5 linked regions of the Oryctolagus cuniculus genome follow. The main gene of each other region encodes a partner of the protein of the gene in region 4 in a complex. Links are inferred from orthologs where the notes say so. Each region holds a gene or a part of one and is shown on either strand. Other genes may lie near its edges. The genes, in order: NAPA, SNAP25, CPLX1, VAMP2 and STX8.

Evidence for each region.
Region 1: the proteins of VAMP2 (region 4) and NAPA are in contact, whole or in part, in a cryo-EM structure (PDB 3J97), measured with the Rattus norvegicus proteins. The link is inferred for Oryctolagus cuniculus from reciprocal best matches to the Homo sapiens genes VAMP2 and NAPA. Residues at the interface, in NP_036795.1 of Rattus norvegicus: Gln36, Ala37, Asp40, Glu41, Val43, Arg47, Val50, Asp51, Leu54, Glu55, Gln58, Lys59, Arg66; in NP_542152.1 of Rattus norvegicus: Arg116, Thr118, Lys122, Ser157, Ser159, Ser160, Lys163, Leu197, Tyr200, Ser201, Lys203, Arg239, Ser268, Ile269, Arg271.
Region 2: the proteins of VAMP2 (region 4) and SNAP25 are in contact, whole or in part, in a crystal structure (PDB 1SFC), measured with the Rattus norvegicus proteins. The link is inferred for Oryctolagus cuniculus from reciprocal best matches to the Homo sapiens genes VAMP2 and SNAP25. Residues at the interface, in NP_036795.1 of Rattus norvegicus: Asn25, Thr27, Ser28, Asn29, Arg30, Arg31, Leu32, Thr35, Gln38, Val39, Glu41, Val42, Ile45, Met46, Asn49, Lys52, Val53, Glu55, Arg56, Lys59, Leu60, Glu62, Leu63, Arg66, Ala69, Leu70, Gly73, Ala74, Gln76, Phe77; in NP_112253.1 of Rattus norvegicus: Gly131, Gly132, Phe133, Ile134, Arg135, Arg136, Asn139, Leu150, Glu151, Ser154, Ile157, Gly158, Leu160, Arg161, Ala164, Leu165, Met167, Gly168, Ile171, Asp172, Gln174, Asn175, Ile178, Asp179, Ile181, Met182, Ala185, Asp186, Asn188, Lys189.
Region 3: the proteins of VAMP2 (region 4) and CPLX1 are in contact, whole or in part, in a crystal structure (PDB 1KIL), measured with the Rattus norvegicus proteins. The link is inferred for Oryctolagus cuniculus from reciprocal best matches to the Homo sapiens genes VAMP2 and CPLX1. Residues at the interface, in NP_036795.1 of Rattus norvegicus: Arg47, Val50, Asp51, Leu54, Asp57, Gln58, Ser61, Asp64, Asp65, Asp68, Ala69, Gln76; in NP_074055.1 of Rattus norvegicus: Leu41, Arg48, Tyr52, Glu56, Arg59, Glu60, Met62, Arg63, Ile66, Arg67, Tyr70, Gly71, Ile72.
Region 5: VAMP2 (region 4) and STX8 share a complex: the UniProt entries of both Homo sapiens proteins name them as parts of the SNARE core complex. The link is inferred for Oryctolagus cuniculus from reciprocal best matches to the Homo sapiens genes VAMP2 and STX8.

The regions. Positions count from the first base shown.
Region 1 is NC_091449.1:10,127,144-10,132,030, reverse strand, and holds the start of NAPA (alpha-soluble NSF attachment protein), read right to left. Parts: upstream 3,210-4,887; 5' UTR 3,012-3,209; coding exon 2,914-3,011; intron 1-2,913. UniProt on the Homo sapiens protein: Required for vesicular transport between the endoplasmic reticulum and the Golgi apparatus. Together with GNA12 promotes CDH5 localization to plasma membrane.
Region 2 is NC_091442.1:35,149,280-35,153,858, reverse strand, and holds the start of SNAP25 (synaptosomal-associated protein 25), read right to left. Parts: upstream 3,215-4,579; 5' UTR 3,057-3,214; intron 2,799-3,056; exon of another isoform or gene 2,476-2,798; intron 1-2,475.
Region 3 is NC_091433.1:185,345-189,448, forward strand, and holds part of CPLX1 (complexin-1), read right to left. Parts: intron 2,423-4,104; coding exon 2,247-2,422; intron 1-2,246. UniProt on the Homo sapiens protein: Positively regulates a late step in exocytosis of various cytoplasmic vesicles, such as synaptic vesicles and other secretory vesicles.
Region 4 is NC_091448.1:52,651,695-52,656,395, forward strand, and holds the start of VAMP2 (vesicle-associated membrane protein 2), read right to left. Parts: upstream 3,192-4,701; 5' UTR 3,034-3,191; coding exon 3,032-3,033; intron 2,502-3,031; coding exon 2,381-2,501; intron 1,911-2,380; coding exon 1,752-1,910; intron 1,672-1,751; coding exon 1,620-1,671; intron 1,069-1,619; coding exon 1,052-1,068; 3' UTR 1-1,051. UniProt on the Homo sapiens protein: Involved in the targeting and/or fusion of transport vesicles to their target membrane. Major SNARE protein of synaptic vesicles which mediates fusion of synaptic vesicles to release neurotransmitters.
Region 5 is NC_091448.1:53,825,340-53,829,443, reverse strand, and holds part of STX8 (syntaxin-8), read left to right. Parts: intron 1-1,799; coding exon 1,800-1,924; intron 1,925-4,104. UniProt on the Homo sapiens protein: Vesicle trafficking protein that functions in the early secretory pathway, possibly by mediating retrograde transport from cis-Golgi membranes to the ER.

The sequences.
Region 1 (4,887 bases), on a different chromosome or scaffold from region 4:
GGTCTCCCATGGGGTGCAGAGCCCAAGCACTTGGGTCATCCTCCACTGCCCTCCCGGGCCACAGCAGAGAGCTGGCCTGGAAGAGGGGCAACCGGGACAGAATCCGGCGCCCCAACCGGGACTAGAACCCGGGGTGCTGGCGCCACAAAGCGAAGGATTAGCCTAGTGAGCCGCGGCACCGGTTGTTTTCTATTTTTTAAAGATTTATCTACTTGAAAGGCAGAGTGACAGAGAGGAGGAGGGTGGAGTGGACAAAGAGAGACAGAGACATAGAGATCTGGGGTTGTGCCAGTCCGGAGCCAGGAACCAGGCCCTCCACCGGGTCTCCAGCACCTGGGCATCTGCTGCCTTCCCGGGCACACTGGCAGAGAGCTGGATCAGAGAGGAGCTGCCGGAACTCAAACCAGCGCCCCGATGCGGGGTGCCAGCGTCGGGGCAGCGCAGGCCCCAAAGCTGCTTCCTTTCTCCCGTGGAAGACTGGGGGGGAGGGGCTAGAGGGCGGCAGCTCCCCGAGACCTGGTGTGCCGCGCCCTCCCCACTGCAGAGCTCTGGGGGCTCGGCCCTGGCCCTGGCCCTGGAGCAGCCGCTGCGGCACGGCAGGGCAGAGTGAGCGCCAGGCCGGGCAGCGCATGCTGCTCCAGCACCTACGGCGATGTCTCTAGGCCTCCGCTATCCACGGGGCTTTGGCGAGGACGGAAGCGCCAGGCCCGGCGTCAGGAAGCACGGGCGGCAGCGTCCCCAGTCGCTGCTCAGACCCAGCACTCTCCTCTCGGGCTCGGCTCAAGTCCAGGCCCTCGCTCGCTCGTGGCCTCACCTTGGCCCAGCCCCAACCCCCTGCACTAAACCTTCACAGGCCGCGCCTCACAGCTCCGCAGCACACGGCTCCCCCGATGGCCCATCACGCCCGAGGGAGACCACCCCTGGCCGTCCCTGTCACCAGGTGAGGCCTTTGCTCACAGCACTCATGCCAGGCGCCGTCCGCCCGAGTCCTGCAGGCTTTGAAGGACATCACCCAGCCCACCTTACAACCAACAACCCAGCCTCACTAGTCCACGCCAAGTGTCGCGCTCCCCATCCCAACCCAGCAGCCTGTCCCAGGCTGGCTTAGCTGCCCGCCCCCCCCCCGGTGCAGCCCAGCGGGGCCCTAACCCTGGGCCAAGGGCACCAGACACCACCAGCCACCCTCAGAACAGCGCACTTGAATTACACACACGCATGCGCACACACACGGTCTCCACTCAGTCTACAACAAAACCCATGAGGACCCGGACGTTTTCCTTTGCTGTTATCCCACCTCCAGCAGCAAGGGCAGGCTCAGTCTCCTGGAAAGACCCTCCCCCCCCCGCCTCCCAGACCCCCTTCCCCGGCTTGCAGCAAACCCCAGTCCCATTCCCCGTCCTAAGCTCGGCCTCAGCGGCTTCCCGCTGACCTCCACTACCCCTCCCCGGCCCCCGTGCCCTGACCTCTGCTACCCCTCCCTGGCCCTGACCCCCCAAGGTTCCAGCTGACCTCTGCTACCCCTCCCCGGCCCTGATCCCCCAAGGTTCCAGCTGACCTCCGCTACCCCTCCCCGGCCCTGACCCCCAAGCTTCCAACTGACCTCCGCTACCCCTCCCCGGCTCTGACCCCCCAAGCTTCCAGCTGACCTCCGCTACCCCTCCCCGGCCCTGACCCCCCAAGCTTCCAGCTGACCTCCGCTACCCCTCCTGGGCCCTGACCCCCCAAGGTTCCAGCTGACCTCCGCTACCCCTCCCCGGCCCCGTGCCCTGACCCCCCAAGCTTCCCGCTGACCTCCGCCACCCCTCCCCAGCCCCGTGCCCTGACCCCCCAAGCTTCCCGCTGACCTCCGCTACCCCTCCCCGGCTCTGACCCCCCAAGCTTCCAGCTGACCTCCGCTACCCCTCCCCGGCCCCGTGCCCTGACCCCCCAAGCTTCCCACTGACCTCCGCTACCCCTCCCCGTGCCCTGACCCCCCAAGCTTCCCGCTGACCTCTGCCACCCCTCCCCGGCCCCGTGCCCTGACCCCCCCAAGTTTCCCGCTGACCTCCGCCACCCCTCCCCGGCCCCGTGCCCTGACCCCCCAAGCTTCCCGCTGACCTCCGCTACCCCTCCCCGGCCCGTGCCCTGACCCCGCTAAGCCCCGCGGTCCGCAGGCCTTCCCTGCCCCTTTCGGCTCCTGAGCCGCTCCCCGGCTCCCGCCTGGCTCTCTACCAGCCCCCATCACCGCACACCTCTTTCCTTGCAGGGCACTCCCAACACTGCCAGCCACCACTTCGGAGCGCTCGCCATCCGCCAGCCCAACGCCGCCCGGCTATCGACGGGGAGGAGACAGCTCTCACTGGCTACCCCTTCGTCGGGGAGATTAAAACTCACCCAGGTCGCGGGCTGAGCGGCAGCCGCACCCCAAAGCCCCTCAGTGCGGCCGGCCCTGAGCTGCCGCCAACTTCCGTGGGCGCCTGCCGCATGGCAGCCGCTAGTCCTGTCCCCAAGCCCTCAGGCCCTGTGCGAGCCCTGTCCTTACCGAAGGGCTACGCAGCAGCCCCCTGCCTGGGCTCGGGAAGGTCAGCCCCTTGGGCAGGTGGCCCCAGCCCCAGGCCCCGGCGCGACCCCTCAAACAGATCCCCCGAGGGCTTGAGAAGGCTTTGGAACCTGGCCCCCGCGGCTGGTCCCCGCCAAGGCCACTGCCCGTATCCCCTTCGCCCAGGTCTCCGCTGGCCTCTGAGCCCGTCTTCAGCCTGGATCCCCTTCCCCGCCTCAAGAGGTGGTCGCCCGGGCCCGTGGGTCCCCAGCCCAAGCCCCTTCGGCCCTCTCCCTGGAAACCGGCCCCCGCACCGCGCCTCCCCCGCCACCCCAGGCCGTGACCCCTGCGGCCCCCAGCCCAGGTCCCGGCCGACCTTTCGGCCTGGTTCCTACCCGAACAGGCCTGAGAAGAAGGACTGCGAGTTCTTCACTTTGCGCTCCGCCTCGGCGAGCAGCGCCATCGCCTCCGCTTCCTTCCCCGAGTTATCCATGGCGGCCGCAGAGCGAACTCAGCGAACCGCCCGACCCGGGCCCTGGGAGGACTCAGGCCCGGCCGGGCCGCGGTACACAGGTCCCGGGAGCTTAGCTGGCTGCGTTGACGTCGCACCGGCGCGCGCCGCCCGAGGCCGGGCACCAGGTGACTGGCACTGGCCAATCAGGGACCTCGTAGCGCGGCGCGCTCCCCGCTGGCCACGCCCCGGCAGGCCGCCGCGCACCGCCCCGTGACTCTCGACGCATGCGTAGCCACCTGTTTTGCGCCTCTCTTCCGGATGCTCCGCACCCACCACCTCGTGACGCCGCACTAGCCAATCGTAGCCCTCACCGTCAGGGACCCACCCCCAAAGTGCTGCCGCAGTATTTGCCTTTCCACCAATCAGCAGCCGCTCTCTGCTCGGGTCCGCCCCACCTTGCGGAAGTTGGGCACGGGTCAGCTGGAGCGGCGGCTGTCACGTGACAACTTCCGGCGCACGCCTGGGTTTGACAGTTCTCTTGCTCGGTGTTTTAGTCCCGCCTCTAAGCCTTGTCTCGCGTGGTTCCTTTCACTCGAAAAGGCCTCAGTGGGAAAAAAGGGGAGCGTTCTGCTTTCTCTTGCGCCCTCTGCCGGCCGATGCTGAAACTGGCGCGGGAGGCCCGTGCAGTGCTTGACAGATGGGAGCGCCTGCAGCCGCGCGTGCGAGATTCAGGCGAGAGGGGGACGCAGGGACGGGGCAGAGAACGAGAGGCGTCGCCCCCGGAGCTTGTTTCCCAGGGGCCGGACTCGCCAGTCTGAGCCGCGGGGCCGCGCAGAGCGTGGGGCGCTGCTGGCGCCGCGGGGGGCCCCTCTCGCCGTGGGCCCTCCGTCCTGGCGGCTTCCCCGGCCAGCCGTCCGGCAGGGAGCTCGACCTGGCCGCTGGCCGCAAGTCAAGCTGTCTGCCTGCCGGCGGTTCCAGCATTGCCTGGTGTCTTGATCTTGATTTTTAGTACTGCTCCCCTTCCCTAGTAAGAGCCGAGGGGGCCACGGCTGCTCAGTGCAGGGTGGCGTCGGATTGACCTCAAGAAGTCAGGGCACAGACGCTGGCCGGCCACACGGTGCCCAGATCGGCTTGTTCACTGCATCAGAGGTACCAGCCTAATGGCAAGCGTGGGGAAGCTGTGGGGTCTGGAGTTTTGGGAACCTATTCTGAAAAGCTGCTTTACAGAGTCAGGTTGCAGGGCCCGCCCTGTCGCGATCCCCATTCTGAGCCTGCGAGGCACAGGAGTCCATTTCTTTCCAGAGCCCCGCCCAGCATGGGACCGGCGTGTGCACGCGCAGTGCTGTGCGGGGCTGGGGTTGACTGACCAGGGCACGGCAGGCCGACCTCTCGCCCAGCTCTCTTCCAGGAAGCGCTTTCCCGAGCCGCTGCTTGTGGCGGCCGCTGTGTGCGGACCACAGCCTCGGCGGACGTCTGTCTGGATCGCCACAGGCAATTTCGGTCCCGTGCCTGTCCAAGCAGCACCGGTACCAAGCTGTCATGTGTTTTAGGCTGTCGGATGTAAAGCAATAGGCAACCAGTGCACCTGGAGGCCCTTCAGGGAGGTGTCCAGAGCTCACCTAGGGTGGGGATAAACCCCGAGTGCCCCGGCACAACCGCGTCATCCCCTGTCCCACTGCCAGGGATCAGCCTGGAGGTGCCACAGACTACTGTCCCGGCCAGAGCCACCAGGGGAGCTGCCCACGTGCCGGTCTGGACTTCAGCGCGAGGGGGCCAGGTACTGACGCTGGCCGCCACGGGTCCCTGATTCACGCAGTCACTGGACCGCCTGACCCAGCTGACCCGGGCGTCAGCCACGGCCAGCGGTGCGCCCAGCATCAGGGCCCACAGTCACCATGTTCACCTGTTTGTTGCT
Region 2 (4,579 bases), on a different chromosome or scaffold from region 4:
AATCCAGCGCTGAAGCTGAAAACATGGATTTTCCTAGCTTGGTAGAATTGCAAAACAGTTCCATAACACAAGAAACATTGTTTATTCAGAGTGCATCATCTAAAAATCAGTTTCATTTATTTTTCTTCTTTCTAGTCTCCTCTCTCAATATCTTTCTTGAATTATTTCTCCCATTTAATGCTCAAGACCTACAGGTTCTGCTGAAGGCCTGCTGTTACGCAGCTTCCAGGTGGGACTGGAACAAACATCAATCTTCCAGTTGATAACCCTGACACTGAGGGCTATCATTTAGAGCTCAGGAATATCTTTAGACAAGCTAACTAAGGGACAGTTTATGTTGTGTTTGCATATGTGTGATTGTGCATGTCTAACAGAGTGAAAATAAAAGGTTTCATTTTTCAGAGATTTTACCATAGAACAGCTCAGAAGACTGTAAGTTGTTTTGTTATCTGAATGCCAAAATAGTAACAGAAAATTCCAGGTACCATCAGAGGGGCTGCATGAATGATACCTGGTTCATCCTTTTGTCTATCTGCTCATACCTCTTCTCACTGCACTGCCCTGGATTTTTAAAATTCTTAAAATAACACATCTTAGATTCCTTTTTATGAAGTGTGTCAACAATGTACATGTTAAATTCATGAATCAGTGATGTTTTTCTTTAATTTGTCAGTAAGCTCGTTCAGAATTAGCCCTATCATCCCGCATTTTGCTTCTCCCTCCCAGTCCTGTGCCCTTCGCAGCTTCACTGCAGTCCTCTACCTCTTCCTCCTATCCCCAGTCTTCCACTAGCAAACAAACTCAGCAGTAATTACCAATGTCCAAGCACGTAATTCCAGCTGCATTAGGCTTTTCTTTTGACGCAACTACGCAGAGAGCTGTCTGGATATGCAGCATGAAGATAAAAACATTTTTAATGATTCCTGTCCATAACTCCCTTCCTCCCATAACTGAAACAAGTTGTTTATTTTGCCTGAAGATTTTAGAGTTATAAACTTCTTTCATGCAGGTATAGACTGATGAATAAATGTCCACCCAAATAATTTTTACATCCATACAGAACAAATATATATATATTATATACAATACACACACACACATATATATAAATGCATGGTTAACCATAAAAAGGAAAAACACTATGTAATAAATAGATAGCTTGAGATGGAAAAACCTTCTGTATGTGAACAAGATGTTTTAGAATCTTTAGTATACAGATGATTGGAGTTATGCCTAATTAAACACAATCCAAGATCTTATTTTGAGTCTTTTAAAGGGATCATGGTAGCATTTTTTAATATGCTGTACATATTCTTACATATGACAGTTATTCTTTTTGCCAGCTACTTAAATAGTACAGTTTTGATCCCAGCCATTTCATGACAATTTGATCTGTCTAAATCAAAGAGAAATATTGCTGTGATGATTTTTGCTCACTCAGAGGCTCCAAACCTCAGAGTAGAAAATGGCCAAAGTATTTATCATCACCTCAGCAAAATCCTGCAGTGCTATAATAGAAATTGCAGTAGATCTTTAGGTTGGAACCCGGTTTCATTCTAACACCCTGGATCTCTCATCTGCCGTGTCCTGAAGGACACAGTTGGATTGTCCTGTGGTAGACCAGTCTTAATGTTATCAAAACAAAAAAGAAACTACTGACCATTAATAACCAACAACTACAGGAAATACTTCTACTAACTCTGAATTCACAGCAAGAGATGTTAAATAATACACACTATAGGACTGTAATAGTCCTCGAAGATGTATTTTTGTGAATGTGTGCTCGTGGTAATGTTGATTCTTATTAATTCAGTTAATCCTAAATGTTCATAAAATATAAATATTTAGAAAGATATCACTTCTATAAACAGTTTTGCCATCTTCATATATACCCCACTCATGCCCACCCAAGATCTGTAGATTGATTTACTCTGTTAAAAACAAAAACAAACAAAAATGTATATATCTTGCTAGAGACTTAACACATATTATTTTTAAAAGTGTTTATTTCCTACCGAAGAGGGGCAGAGGGCAACACAGAGGGTTTCCACCAGCAGACTTTTTTTTTTTTTTTTGATGGTATGCAGGAGGTGAACAGGAGAGCAGGCAATTGTCTTAAGTCTTTGTGGACAGGATTTATTTTTTCTTCCCTTTTCTCTTTGAACCTACTATGCCTGCTCTATTAATGGTCCCTGTAAGATCAGGGTCTCAGAGAGACGATTTGACCTCCAACCCTGGCACATCCAGTCCCCGCCAGGCGTCTGCCGCAGGTAGATGCCGCTCTGCGGCCGGACTGCTGTCTGTGGTGCTGAAAGGTCGCCGGCGCCAGCACGGGCCCCCGGTACTGCTCTCCAGGGTGCTGAGCACCGGCCGCCGCAGTCCCCGGGGCGAGCCCACCGCGCCAGCCCTCCGCAGAGCCCTCCCACTCGGCACGACCCGCCCGCCTCCCGCCAGCCTGCAGTTGACGTGGAGCAGGCGGCATAAATCAAGTCCGCGGGGCATGGAGGCTGCTGCCGCTGCCACAGCTCCGCTTGCCCGGGGCGAGAACTCGTTCTTTCTCCTTTGGCCTCCCCAGCGCCCCACACCTTGCCTCCTCCTTAATTCTTCCCAAGAGAATTAGAACAACATGATGGCTTTTTGTTTTGATTCGTTTTTTTTTTTTTTTTTTTTTTTTGGTCCACAGAAAGAAAAACAAACCCCTACTCCCTACCCCCTAGCCTGCTAAACATCTCCGAAAACTGCATCGCAAAATGGAAGAGACAGAGTCCCACGACTGTTGCAGAGGAGTAACTTATTCGGTATGTATCCTTGTTCTTCCTCCTCATCGCTCCACCTGCACTATCTCCATTCATCCCTTCCCCAAGCAGCTCACCTCGAAAATACTTTATAAAGCCCCAGAAGGGAGTCTAGCCAGACGTGCATACCCGGAATACCGCACCCTAAGTGTACAAACACTTGCATTTGCCCAAGCTCACTTGCTCTGCCCAGCTGTGGGGTCCCTTTGGGGTACACAGACATCTAGAGCCAGAACCTCGAGCTGGGGAGGGTCCCCTTACCTTGGCTTCTCCAGAGGGTGGTGTTCGCCGGGGCCCCTGCAGGTTGCAAGCGTGGAGGAGCCGCCAAGCAGGGAGGGAAGGAAAGACAGCGCCTGACCTCGGCGAGGTTTCGTCTTCAATGCAACGTGAGCTCTGCCCTCATCAAAGATGGCCGTCCCTTTGACGTCAGCAGCTTTTAATAGCCGGCTCGGGAGGGGCGGGGAGGAAGTATTCTGGCGAGGGGCGGGGTGAGTGGGGGGAATGGAGAGCAGGGAGGGTCGAATGAGGGAGGGGGCGCGTGGTGGCCGGGGAGGAGCGAGGGGGGCGGAGGCGCGTGAAGGGAGGGGACGAGTCTCGAGGTGCCCAGAGCTTGACTCAGCTCCGTGTGCGCTTCACTACAAATCTTTGCATTTTAGCGTTCTATAAACACCCGAACAGAGAGGTTTTAGGACTCCATTTTAACACCCGGTCTTGGGCAAACACATTTACCTTGCCACTGGCTCCCTGATGTCCTTTGTTGTGTGTGCCTATGAATGTTAATATACGTACATCTATAGATCACATATACATAATTTACTCCAGCTGAATTGAGTCACACGCGAAGAGAGGAAGGCAGAGGCGGTGGTGGGAACGGTGAGGGAGGGGGAAATTTCAGCTACGGTTTGTGCCCCTAACCACCAGAAAAGGGTCCGAAGGGACATCCCTGTCAACCCTCCCCAGCTCCATATATGGCTAGGCTACGTGGGTTGCTATTTTTTATGAGTGATTTCTTCATTTTATCCGAGCTGCAACGAGGGCTAGGAGTTTGCATTCATGTGGTCAGTTGGGAAGAGAGACTCACACACTTTATTTTAAAGTACGTCAGAGCTATTACCACGGAGAGTATCCGCTGAGTCCGGAAGGGTCGTTAACCAAACCAGCAGGGGGTTGCTAGGACTCCAGGCTAGGAGTTGAGAGCTGTTGGCCAGGGTAACATTGATGACGCTGTTTTCAGCGGAATTTGCAGTCTGAGCCTGGGGTTTTGCGTTGGGTATTTTAGGAAAAGTCCGCACAGGCACGTAGGCGCCTCCTAGATCGGTCCAGACATCCAGGGAGAAGGTGGCGGGTTTGCGTTCAAGCATGGTTAGGACGCGATAAAACGCTGGTGCTTCGCTCAGTGAGCAAAGCCTGGGCACCACGACAGGCTGGCTCGGGGCTCTCTGATGTTCAAATCAGGGCAAGAGTGAGGAAGGTGTCTTGTGCAAGTCATATGAGAAATTAGAAATAATAATAAAAAAGCAATAATCCTAGCTACCCCCACCCCACCCTGTTGTCGTGCAGGAGGCGCCCAGGGAGGCAGTGGTGGCGGTGATGGGGGTGGCGTGCAAATAGCTCTGCCTTGGAGCCTCTCGGATGATTCACAGGTGTTGGGGAGGCTGTCGCGGGGCTCTCTGCGGGGAGGGCAGGCTGCTGGGCGCGTAGGAGGTGGGGGACCTCGTCTGAGGAACTGTTTGTACTTTTCTGGGGAGGATGCAATTAGAAGTCGTGCCTCGCAGTGTTAAAAC
Region 3 (4,104 bases), on a different chromosome or scaffold from region 4:
CTCTGCTCCCCATCCGGCTTTCCCACCCCCTGTGTATGTCCTGTCTCCCCTTTGTGGTAGGCTGGATCGTGTCACCCCAAAATCCACGTCATCTGGGGTGTATTTGCAAACAGGACCTTGGTCAAGGTCATCCTGGATCTAAGGGGACCCCAACTCCAGGAAGGGTCTTTATGAGCAGCAGGAAAGGCACACAGAGGCGAGGCCACTGAAGATGGAAGACGGGCACACCTGACACGTGGGGTAGCGGCCTGAGGTCCCAGCAGCTGCGCCAGGCAGGAAGGCCACTCGTGGGTCCTTCTTTTCTCTCGAGGTTTTGTGATAAACCCGGGGTGGCCTCAGTGACAATACACCCCTGCCAACACCCCAGAACAGCGTGGACACTGCAGTCTTGGTGAGGCCACGAACCACCAAACAAGTGGCGGGCACAGGGCAGGAGTGGGGTCCACCCAGGCTGGGGGCTCAGGGTCTCCCCTGAGCCAGGGCTGACCTCCAGCTCCAAGGGGGCGATGAGGTGGGCACCAGCGGGGGCAGTGCTGGGCAGGACCAGGTCACACACCCATGCTGGGTCACCTGCCTCGGGAAGGGGGCTTTCCGCCCAGGGGGAGGCCCTGGCCATTTCTGCCTTAGTGCCCCCTCACCCTGCCCACAAAGTGCCTGGGTCTCAAGGAGGCCCCCTCCCAGATGGGGGCTGTCTGTGTCCTTGTGCCCTCCCCTACAGCTGTGGGTAGCCTCGGACCTGGGGCTGCAAGGGCCATGTCCAGCTGGAATCTGAGCAGAGGATGCCATGGTCCCCACCCCCAGCAGCCTGAGCTTCCTCAGCCCCTCTTCCCTCGGCACAGCTGGGAGTGCCACGGTCGCCAGGCCAGAACACCCGGCGCCCACACCTCACTGACCGGTCAGCCAGGCGAGGGAACCAGGCACACTGGGCCTCCCCAGCGGCCTGCCTCACTCTGTAAGGGCAGCAGCCCTGGGCACAGAAGGGGGGCAGGAGCATGTGTGGGCTGGGAGAGGGAAACTAGGTCAGGCCAGAGAGCACGTCCCCCAGCCGGGGCACGGGCAGGCGGGCTCCTGCAGCATGGCGCCTGTTTACCGGTGTGGGGCACACACGGCAGAGGGACTTGGGAGCACACAGCGTGGAGGAAGTCGGGTCCTCCCCTCGGGGCCCAGGGAGGCCCCAGGCCCCACCAGGACTGCGTGGTCACTCTGAGCTTGCCTGAAGGGCCAGTCACTCCACTAAGTGTCCAGGCTGCCCTACCTGGACGGGCACTGAGGCTCTTGCGCTACAGACACCCGGGCCAGGTGCCCGCCAGTCCCCAGGACAATAGCCCACGGAGATGACCAGAGAGGGCGCCCGGCCAGCACATGGACCCCTGGAAATCACAGCCTGTGGGGCTGGTGGCAGGGGCAAGAACCCAGAGGCAGGAGGTGACACCAAGTCTGGAGGAGGCTGCGTCCTGGACACATAAGTGCCGTGCCTGCCTGTGCCCCTGTCCACCTCAGAAGCCCAGCTCCCAACGGAGCCAGGAGAGGCTGCTTTGTCCTCTCAGGGGTCGGATGAGGCAAGGAGGGGCCCTGGGTCTGAGCCTTCCCCCTGCACAGTCCCAGGGCACTGGAGGAGTGAGGGAAGGCACAGGCCCCCCCAACAGCCTCTCGGTCCTGAGCCCCAGCACTGGAGGCCCCATTCCCACTGCTGTTTCCTGCACCCCAACAGGGGCTGACTGCTCCCTACCCCACCCCCAGGCTCTCTGGAGCCTCCTCCCCCAGCTGAACAGGTAGCTGCATGTGGCTATGCTAGACTCGGCTCTCAGCAGGGACCCAGGCCCACATCCAGGTGCCCACTCTGGCCACAACTCCCAGGAGGTCACTCAGATGACTAGAACAGGGGCCACTGTCAGCTGGACACCCACCCCCTCACCATGCCCACCCTGCCCGCCTTGCCGGTTCCAGCCCCCAACTTTGTGAATCCAGGAAGGCAGGGAGCTCCCTCCCTAGAGAGGTCTGACCTCAAACCCAGGCTCCGAAGATCCCTGGCCCCAAAAGCAGCCCCCACCCCATCCACAGGGCCTCCCCCAGGACAGACCGGCCTCACAGGGAGCCCCGGCCCAGATGTGACAGCTGCCCCCATGGGACCATGTCCCGGCACCTGTTCCGTGCATAGGTGTCCACAGAGAGAGACCCCATGCGGCCCCTGCCGCGCCCAGAACCAGGCCAGCATCTGCCTGGGGCATGTCCCGTCCTGTGCCCACCTTGTCGCGGATGCCCTGGCGCATGGCCTCTCGCTCGGCCTCCATCTTGGCGTACTTGGCCTTGCGTTCCTCCTCCTCCTGCCTCAGCGCCTCCTGCCGCTCCTCCTCCTTCTTGGCAGCATCGGGGTCCTTCTCCTCGTCACCCCCAAGCATCTTCCCCATGTCCTTGGTGGCCCCTGGGGGCGGGAGGGCAAGCAGTCAGGCAGCTGAGTGGGGAGCGAGCTCGCGCAGGACCCGCGGTTTGAGGGCGGCGGGGTTGCGGGTGGGACTCTGTGCAGGGGTGGCTGGACACGGGGCTCCGTGTATGGTCTGTGTCATCTCTGGGCCTGTGCCTAGTCGAGGGTCAACCCTCAGCAGGGCCGGCAGGACTCGCCAGATCTGCAGGCTGGACAGGAGCAGGCAGGGCGCCAGGTCGGATGCCAGCAGTCAGCGGTCGGTCAGGCTCCGGCACCAAGGCCCCGATCCCTCTGCTGTGTTTGCTCACGAGCCCCTGACCCACGCCCCTCCCCCTCCCCCCATGCTGTCTGTGGTTCACCCACGGAACAGGCACAGCAGCCCCTGCACTGAGTCAGCGGTGCTGCCCAGGAGGTAGCTCACCACACCCTGCAGGGCCACGGGGCGTCAGGGCCTGGCTAGGCACCCCGTTGCCCCTGCCAGTCACAGCCACGTCCCACCGTGGCCCTCAATCTGCAGGAGCAGAGTGCCACTCCCACCTGTGGTGTATGCAGACGGCAGGCACAGGCTGCCCCCTGCCTCCCGCAGGCGGGACCAGTGACACCCACGGCCTCTCTGGACCCAGCCTCCCCTTGCGTGTGTGCTCTCGCTCCCCTGGGGCAGGACCTCCTGAGCACCACCCCGGCTACCTGAGTCATGCCTCAGGGGAACCACCCGCTGAGTGCGGGCGCCTAGCGCCCCGCGCCTCCACCCGTGTGCAGAGGTGCCTCTCCCTGCTCTGGATCCAGAGGCCCTGCCCTGGTCCCAGCGGCAGACACCGAGGGCCCTCTCCAGCCTCCGAGGGCAGCGCGTGTGCCGCCCCCTGCTGGCGGGATGAGAACAAGGTTCTGGTGGAGTGTTCTGGACTGAAAACTGGACGCCTGAGGCCGAGCCATTCCGCGCCACGAGGGCCTTCCTACTTCTCTGGCCATCTTGTCGCCCTCGTCACTGCGGGGACCTGGAGCCAGCCTGTGTCAGGAACTTGCCGATGGCACAGATCCGGACGCATCAGAGAACCAAGAGCCTGCAGTCAGTTTTCAGCTGCTTCTGCAAAATTCTGCAAAGCGGATTTTAGGGCACGGGTTGGCGGGAAACTGGGTCAGAGAAGAAGCCGAGTCCACTCCCCCTCCCAACGGTTCCCACTCGTGCCCGGGCCTCTGCCTGCCGAGCTGTGGTCTCTGGCAGGGGCAGAGGAGGCCAGGACAAACCACACAGCCTGACTGCTCTGCGCTGGTTCACACTCAGCGAGAGCGGCTGTGAGTCCTGTCTCTCTCCTCGCCCGCTTTCCTCTCTCCTGCGCAGCGCGGGGGTGGGCTGCACCCCAAGGCCTGCCCCCCCCGCCACAGGCTCTGGTTCCAGTCGAGGCGGCTGCGTTTATTGAGCACCGACTGTGCGCTAAGCTCTGTGGGTGTCCTGCAGGGACTTCGGCGGCCCCACTTGAGCTCCGGGGAGGGAAACCCCACCTTTAGGAGAGGAGGAGCGGGGAGGCCAGCAGCCCCGCCACCCACACTGTCAGAGGGACCAGGGAGCCACAAGCACCCCCCGTGCTTCCTCCCACCCCCAGTGCTGCAGGAACGGCCTCCGGAACCTTCCAAACGCTGGAGTGGGGTGCCAGAGCCGCCCGGCGGGAAGCTTGTTCCTGGCT
Region 4 (4,701 bases):
CCTCCCCAAGGCAGTGATGACCCCCCAACACACACATACTGGTGGCCACCCCTCCCAAGGGAGACCAGATTGTGGCCATCCCCCAACTCTCCTGGTGGGAGGAGGAGGTGGATCAGGCAGACAGATGGGAGAGAGGGAGACCCCACGGGAATGTCAGTTGAGTGCCCCACATGAAAACTGGGGACAGGAATGTAGGGAGAGACCCCAAGTGGCAGAATTATTGGTCCATCATAACACATTGAACTCCAAGACACTTCCACGCCAGCTGAGGGGAGGGAGGGAAGGGCACAAGAGGTTTGGGAAATGGGGGTAGGGGCGGCAAACGACTAGAGGGCCTGGGAGTGGGCAGTTCCCCAAAAAGCCCAGGCTCTCCACCGCCTGTAAGTAATGTCGTGCAAATAAGAGTGACACAAGGACTACTGGGGACTAACTTTCCAGTAAGAAAGAAATTGGTTCAAAGAAGAGTGATGGAACAAAAAACAAGGAAACCAAAGGGATGTTGGTGTGCAAATGATCTGCTAATTAACACGCTGGAAGCTCCCAGAAGATCTTGGGATTCTCAGGACCAAGTGGGGCCAGTCTCAGGGCCTCCCAATGGATGCAAAGAAGGTGCATGTAGGGAGGCCTGGCCAGGTGCTTTTGTCTGTTGTGGGAGGAGTGCAGAGGGGGAGGAGGGGGAAGGCAAGGAAGGATCAGCTGGATGGGGGAAGGAGAGGGGCTGTTGCATAGCAGATGCAAATGAGGGGACTTGGGACTGGTCAGGAGGGAAAGGGGGGGACAGGGACAGAGAGAGGCGAGGACGGGGACACCTCAGGAAGGGGTGTTAAGGACAACCGGAAAAATCTTCTAGTAATAAAACTACAAACAGACCAAATATATATAATATTATATATGTATAAATAACAGCTGGCTATTTACAGGGGGCACACACACAGACACACACACACACACACGGATCCGGGGAGGGGCTGAGAGATATGGCTGAGAGGTGGAGGAACGGCTGGGGGTGGGGGAGAGGCCCTTCTCTAGGCAGGGCAGACTCCTCGGGGATTTAAGTGCTGAAGTAAACTGTGGAGAGAGGGAAGAGGAAGAGGAAGAGGGAGGGGGGAGGGAGGGAGAGAGAGAGAGCTGGGTGTCAGGCCCGGCCCTGCTGCGGTCCTCCCCACCCCCTAGCTGGCTGGCTGCTGCCCCTTCCCCCAGCTCGAGGCCTCAGTCTCTCCATCTGTGAAGCAAGGGGCTGGCCAGATGGGTGCCTCCACGGGATGGCTTTGGAGCCACACCCCCACCCAATTCACCAGCTCTCAGACAGCGGCAGGACTGGCTTCCTGGCCATGTCTCCATTTCCGCCTCCCACTCCCCAGTTCCAGTTCCCAAACTGGGCTCTCAAGCCCAAAGGATGCTCAGTGAAGTAGTGGGAGATCCACCGGCTTTCCCGTTGCCAACAGTCAGGCACCCGGCAGGCTGCACAGGCTTTCTGGCTCTAGGACCCACAGCTCCCTAAGCAGCTATGTGGCGTTTGCCAGAGTGAAGACTAGGTTAGTGACCTTCACATCCCAGACTGCACCCACCGGGGGGAGCCTCTCCAGAGAAGGGGCCCCGGCCACTCCCGCCCCACTCACCGATGATGATGATGAGGATGATGGCGCAAATCACTCCCAAGATGATCATCATCTGGGGGCGGGAGGGGAGGGTCAGTGAGACAAGCCCCCATCCTTCCATTCACCCCCCAGTTCTCCCGCCCCCGCCCTCACCTTGAGGTTTTTCCACCAGTATTTGCGCTTGAGCTTGGCTGCACTAGTTTCAAACTGGGAGGCCCCCGCCTGGAGTGCATCGGCGCGGTCGTCCAGCTCAGACAGCTTCTGGTCCCGCTCCAGGACTTTGTCCACATTCACCCTCATGATGTCCACCACCTGGGGGAGGGGCCCAGGAGGCAGGGGGTGTGCCAAGGCCCGCCGAAACGAGGGCACTCCTTGACCGTGTGCCCAGGGTGCCATACACAGAACATGCACCCAGATACCGCCAAGTTAACATGCCAAGGACACACAGAGAACATGCCTAGCATACCTGGGGACATGCAAGGAGCACACATCAGGGGCATGCTGGCAGCCACACATTCAGATGTCAGAGCGACCCTCAGAGAGCCTGTCAGTCACCAGGGCAAACCTGCCCAGGCTGGCACACCGCAGGCTAGCAAGGCTGCTTGACACCCCAGCGCCCTTCCAAATGTGTGCTGACGCGAAGGCAGGGAGGAGGCTCGGCATGTCTTTGTCCCCACACCCACAGCTGTGAACTGTCATCACCCCCAACCCGCGATGGGCCCCACACCTGCGTGCCCACCTGCAGGCTCTGGCCTGCGGCCTCCCACCCGGCTCACACTCACCTCATCCACCTGGGCCTGGGTCTGCTGCAGTCTCCTGTTACTGGTGAGATTGGGAGGGGGCGCAGGGGGGCCGCCCTCCCCGGCCGGGGCGGCAGGGGGGGCGGTGGCAGCGGTAGCAGACCTGAGGAGCAGGCGCAGATTAAGGCCCAGGGTCCAGAGACTCCGGCCCCGCGGCCAGGGCTCCGCCCATCCACCTGTCCATCCGTCGTCCCTCCAGTCCTCCTTTTCGGGAGGAAGGCCGCCCGATGGGAGCCCTGGTCTCCGTCCAGCCCCATCGCCGCTGAGCTGAGTGACCTTGAGCGAGGCCCCCTCCCCCCTCCGGGCCTCAGTTTCCCCGCCTGCCAAATGAGAGCGACCTCACGGACGCGGTCTGGGGTCGACACCGGATGACAGGCGTCCGCGGTGACAGGGCCGGGGCGGGGCAAGGCAGACGCTGGGTCCGCACCCTCCCGCGCGGCCATCGCCCGCGCCGGCCAGCCCGGGGGCCGCGGGGGCTCTCCCCGGCCCGCCGCGCAGTCACGGGCGCCAGGCTGGCCCCGAGAGCACCGGGGGCGCGGGCGGGACCCCGGGCCCTCCCCGCGCGGTCCACTCCCAGGGCGGCGGCCGAGGCGGGGAAGCGCGGTACGGACGGCGGGCGGCCGGCCGACTCACATGGCGGGGGCAGCGGGTGGAGGACTTGGCAGCGGCAGTGATGGCGGCGGCGGCGGCAGCGGCGGCGGCTCGCGCTGGCTCCGACTGGCGCTGGCTGCCCGGGACGGGAAGATGGCGGCCGCACGTCACCCGCACCCGGGCACTGCGGGCGGGGGCGGGGCTCGCAGGCGACACGTCGCGAGCGCGGCCGCGGGGGCGGGGCGGGGCCCGGCGGGGCGGGGGTCGAGCCGGGCGGGGCCGCCGCGGCGCGCCTCGCGCGCCCTCCCCGCACCTCGCGCGCCCTCCGCGCCACCCCTGGCTGACTGCTGCGGCTTTCCCCAAACCCCCGCGCCGCCGCGTCCTGGAGGCTCGCAGCCCCCTGCTACCCGGCCTTCCGCCGCGGAGCCCCGCACCTCACCCTAGGCCACCTCCTCCCTCTCCCGTGACTCCGATAAACCAGTCCGCAGCCCCGTGGCCCGAGGTCTCGCCCTGGCCAGGTTGCAATGCCTGGTGACCCCCCAGCTTCGGCACTCGCAATGGGCTGGGCGTGGGGAAATCAGAAGGGCCCAGCGGAGAGCGGGAACGCTCCTGCCAGAGTGGAGGAGCGGGGTGATGCGCGCTGAGACCACCTGTCACCTGGCAGGTGGATGGCTGAAGGGAGGTTTGGGGCCCCTGCGGAGCAGGAGGAGGAGGAGGAGGACCCTTCCCCTCCCCAGGCCCCGCCTCCAACCAAATCCCCGAGGGGCTGCAGGCTATGAAACTGCCAAGTTCAGAGCAGGGGCAGGCAAAGCTGGAGCAGACCCAGGGGGAGGGCGCATGCTGCCCCCCGCACTCACCCCCCCGGGGGGGGACATCGTCACGTCTAGGCCGGCCACAGACCCAGCTGTGCCCCAGACTGGAGTCAGCTGCTGCGGGACAGGCGAGGGCTTTGGCTTTGAACCTGGCCGCAGGCCGGGGGCTTTTTACCTTGGGAGGAAGGAGGACAGCAGGCAAGGGTGGCACTGCTATGTGGTGCTGCTTTACACGTGGGCTAGCCTCCTGGATGTGTCCCCCGGGCAGCTCCTTTTCTCTCTCTGGATCTCCGACACATTACACATCTAGGACTAAATATGTACGGCAGCAGTGGGATAGCTTGTAGGAGATGGTCCCCCTCCTAGGCCATCGATCACTGGTCTCCACCTAAATCCTGCACGTAGTCCCAGCCAGCTTGCAGGAGAAAATGGGCACGGGTGAGCTGTGCCTCTGGAGTGGGCAGGATCAAGGCAAGCTTCCAGGATAGAGGAAGCATTTGGGGGGGGGGGGCGATGGCTGTGGGGTGGGGGCGCTCAAACATTCCTGGAAGTGGGGGACGGAGACTGGTGGCCTTGATCTGTGAGACAAACAGGAGCCAGCTTCTTCCCTCCCCCACGCCGGCTTCCCAGGGCCTGCGGTGTGAGATCCTCCTCCACTGCCGCACCCCACCCCCTCCCGGCAGAAGCCTGGGGACCGGCTCTGTCACCAGAGGTGTCATTTCCCAGCTGTCTGGGGGAGGTGAGTTGGTGGGGGAGGGGCGGAACTCAGCCCAACCTAAGCTGCTCTTGGCTCTCTGGTGGCCCTCGGAGGAGCAGCCACATCCCTGGTCCTTGTGCACGGCTGTGGCGCACCTGGGCTAGCTCAGCCTGTGTGATGACCAACCGGGAAAAGAGCAGCTT
Region 5 (4,104 bases), about 1.2 Mb from region 4:
CCGCCTGCCTGGTGGACCTGGGATTCACGTGTGAAAGGTTAAACAGATGGAGTAGACAATGACGGATGTGATCAGGGCTGGAAGGATGCTGAGTAATGGGGAGAGATGTGGGTGGGTATAAAACCTAGGGCTGTGTCTGTACAGAGCGAATGCTTGGTGTTGCTCCTACTGCTGCTGTAACATCGTTGCCCTTTTTTTTTTCTTTTAATGGCATCAGACTCAGGATTTAGGATTTACCTAGGTTTTTTTTTTTTTTTTTTTTTTTTTTTTTTTTTTTTTTTTTTTTTTTTTAAGATTTATTTATTTTTCTTGAAAGTCCGAGTTACACAGAGAGAGAAGGAGAAGCAGAGAGAAAGGTCTTCCATCCAATGGTTCACTCCCCAATTGGCTGCAATGCCTGGAGCCGTGCTGATCCGAAGCCAGGAGCCAGGAGCTTCTTCTGGATCTCCCATGTTGGCTGCAGGGGCCCAAGGACTTGGGCCATCTTCTACTGCTATCCCAGGCCATAGCAGAGAGCTGGATCAGAAGTGGAGCAACCAGGACTCGAACTGGCACCCATATGGGATGCCGGCACTGTAGGTGGCGGCTTCACCCGCTACACCACAGCACTGGCCCCTTACTTACCTAGGTTTTTGAAACCTGTAGTTCTACTTTTTCTTTAATTTTCTTTCTTTCTTTCTTTCTTTCTTTCTTTCTTTCTTTCTTTCTTTCTTTCTTTCTTTCTTTTTTTTTTTTTTTTTTTGACAGGCAGAGTTGTTAGAGTCAGAGTCAGAGTTACAGTCAGAGTTACAGTTAGAGTGAGAAAGGTCTTCCTTCCGTTGGTTCACCCCCCAAATGGCCGCCACGGCCAGCACGGTGCACAGATCTGAAGCCAGGAGCCAAGTGCTTCCTCCTGGCCTCCCACGCGGGTGCAAGTGCCCAAGCACTTGGGCCATCCTCCACTGCACTCCCAGGCCACAGCAGAGAGCTGGACTGGAAGAGGAGCAACCGGGACTAGAACCTGGCGCCCATATGGGATGCCGGCGCCGCAGGTGGAGGATTAACCAAGTGAGCCACGGCACCGGCCCAAGATTTATTTATTTATTTGAAAGAATTACACAGAGAAGGAGAGGCAGAGAGAGAGGTCTTCCATCTGCCTGTTCACTCCTGAGTTGGCCACAACAGCTGGAGCTGTACCGATCCAAAGCCAGGAGCTTCTTCTGGGTCTCCCATGCTGGTGGAGGGGCCCAAGGACCTGGGCCATCTTCTACTGCTTTCCTAGGCCATAGCAGAGAGCTGGACGGGAAGTGGAGCAGCCAGGACTTGAACTGGCACCCGTATGGGATGCTGGCACTGCAGGTGGCGGTCTTACCCACTACGCCACAGTGCCAATCCCAACAGATATTTCTACCTTTGGTGTATGAAAAAAATTTGTCTTAAATATGAAAGTGACACACTACCTACTGCACTAACGAGGCACCTACTTTGTCTTAAATAAAAAGGCCATTTAAGAACTCCTTTCCTAATAATGTCTGTGTGGTTATGCCTCTGGTACCTCTTGGAGGATTAGTGTGAGTGTTAGGTTCTCCCATCATCTCTCTGGCAAGCTGTAATTCCTTGGACCAGACTTGTACCTTGTTCATTCCTGTATCTCTCAACAGCACTGGAACACAGTTCCTGGCATAAACCAAGGATGCCGTAAATCGTGGTCAGGTTGAATTTTCAGAGCATGTGAGGCTGGGCCTCTCTGCACCTGTGGGAGCGGTTTGCAGCTGAGCTGTGTTTTCTGCCATATGTAATGCGTTTGACATTGTTCTCAGGTCCAGTCTGATGAGTGAAGAAGCTAAGCGAGGAGCGCCCAACCCTTGGCTCTTGGAGGAGCCAGAGGAGACCAGAGGCTTGGGTTTTGATGAGATTCGGCAACAGCAGCAAAAAATCATCCAAGGTACTGAACACCCCAAAGAGTGTGGGTTTAGAAGTAACCTTGCCAGCTTTTTGCAATAGCCTTGAATGTCCCTTAACCCCCACTGCAAATCGGAACGAAACTGTTGGCCTAATTTTTAGGCTCTTGGGATCTTCGTGCCTCAGAATACCTGAGGAATAGACGCCGGCCGTCACCCACCCCGCAGCTCAGGGAAGCAGGGGATCTGTCTTCGGACCTGAGCTGGTCTCATGCTGACGAGTCTGGGTGACTTTGATGTGTGTACCTATAGGTTTTTTTTTCCGAACGCAAGACTCCATCTTTTTCTTCTATAAAATAAGTCAGTTTGGTTTTTACCTTCAAGTTCATCTTGCTCAGTAGCTTGTCAGCCTAATTGTTTCTTTTTCAACCTCTTCTGCTGTTCAAACTTGAGAAGCAGTGCATGATTGCCATACATAGTTCAAGCCATCTAGGGCTAGGAGAGATGGCAAACCATTGCTTCTCCAGTCTCAGCCTGGGTTCAGTGGGGCCAGGCATGTTTCCTCAGATGTGGATCCATGGTGTGCATGTATTCAGTGTAACACGTGAGAAACACAGGTACCTCCTGATAGGTGTGTCATCCACACCTTTTTTTTTTTTTTTAAGATTTATTTATTTGAAAGGCAGATTTAGAGGCAGAGGCAGAGAGAGCGAGAGCGAGCTTCCATCCACTGGTTTACTCCCCAGATGGCTGTGATAGCCAGAGCAGGGCCGATACAAAGCTAGGATCCAGGAGATTATTCTGGGTTTCCCACATGGGTACAGGGGCCCAAGGACTTTGGGCCATCTTCTCCTGCTTTCCCAGACCTTAGAGAGCTGGATTGGAAGTGGAGCAGGGAGGACTTGAACTAGCACCCATATGGGATGCCGGCACTGCAGGTGGTGGCTTTGCCCGCTATGCCACAGCACTGGCCCTCTTCCACAGCTTTTAAAAAATGTAATGTGTGGCCGGCGCCGCGGCTCACTAGGCTAATCCTCCACCTTGCGGCGCCGGCACACCGGGTTCTAGTCTCGGTCGGGGCACCGGATTCTGTCCCGGTTGCCCCTCTTCCAATCCAGCTCTCTGCTATGGCCAGGGAGTGCAGTGGAGGATGGCCCAAGTGCTTGGGCCCTGCACCCCATGGGAGACCAGGAGAAGCACCTGGCTCCTGCCATCGGATCAGTGCGGTGCGCCGGCTGCAGTGCACCGGCTGCGGCAGCCACTGGAGGGTGAACCAATGGCAAAAGGAAGACCTTTCTCTCTCTCTCTCTCTCTCTCTCTCTCTCTCTCTCACTCTCTCACTGTCCACTCTGCCTGTCAAAAAAAAAAAAAATGTGTCAGACATTTTTCATGTCAGTATATACAGGTATGACCTTTGTAATTCTACTTTTTTTTTTTTTTTTTTTTTTTTGACAGGCAGAGTGGACAGTGAGAGAGACAGAGAAAGGTCTTCCATTTGCCATTGGTTCACCCTCCAATGGCCGCCGCGGCCGGCGCGCTGCGGCCGGCGCACCGCGCTGATCCGATGGCAGGAGCCAGGAGCCAGGTGTTTTTCCTGGTCTCCCATGGGGTGCAGGGCCCAAGCGCTTGGGCCATCCTCCACTGCACTCCCTGGCCACAGCAGAGAGCTGGCCTGGAAGAGGGGCAACCGGGACAGAATCCGGCGCCCCAACTGGGACTAGAACCCGGTGTGCCGGCGCCGCTAGGCGGAGGATTAGCCTAGTGAGCCGCGGCGCTGGCCTTGTAATTCTACTTTTTAAAAATAGCTTTATTGAGATCGAGTTGATGCTATCATAACTAGCACACATTTGAAGTGTATGATTTGGTAAGCATCGACACATATCTACAAACCTGCAAAACCCTCGATACAATCAGAACAAACATATTCGTCACTCCCAAAGACATCCTCCATGTCATTTTGTAATTCTTCTTGCTGCTTCTCTCATTCCTAGACAACTACTGTTCTGCTTTCTGTCACTCTAAATTAGTGTCTCTTTTCTGTAATTTTATATAAAGAGTCCTCCAGGCGCTCCCCCCGGGGGAGGAGGAGGTCTGGTTTGTTTCTCTAAGTGTATTAAGGTTCATGTACGTGTTTCACGTGGCAGTATTTTGTTCCCTTCCGGTACACTGTGCCATGGTATGACTGTCACAGGCTGTGTTATCCAATCACCTGTTGATGGGTATC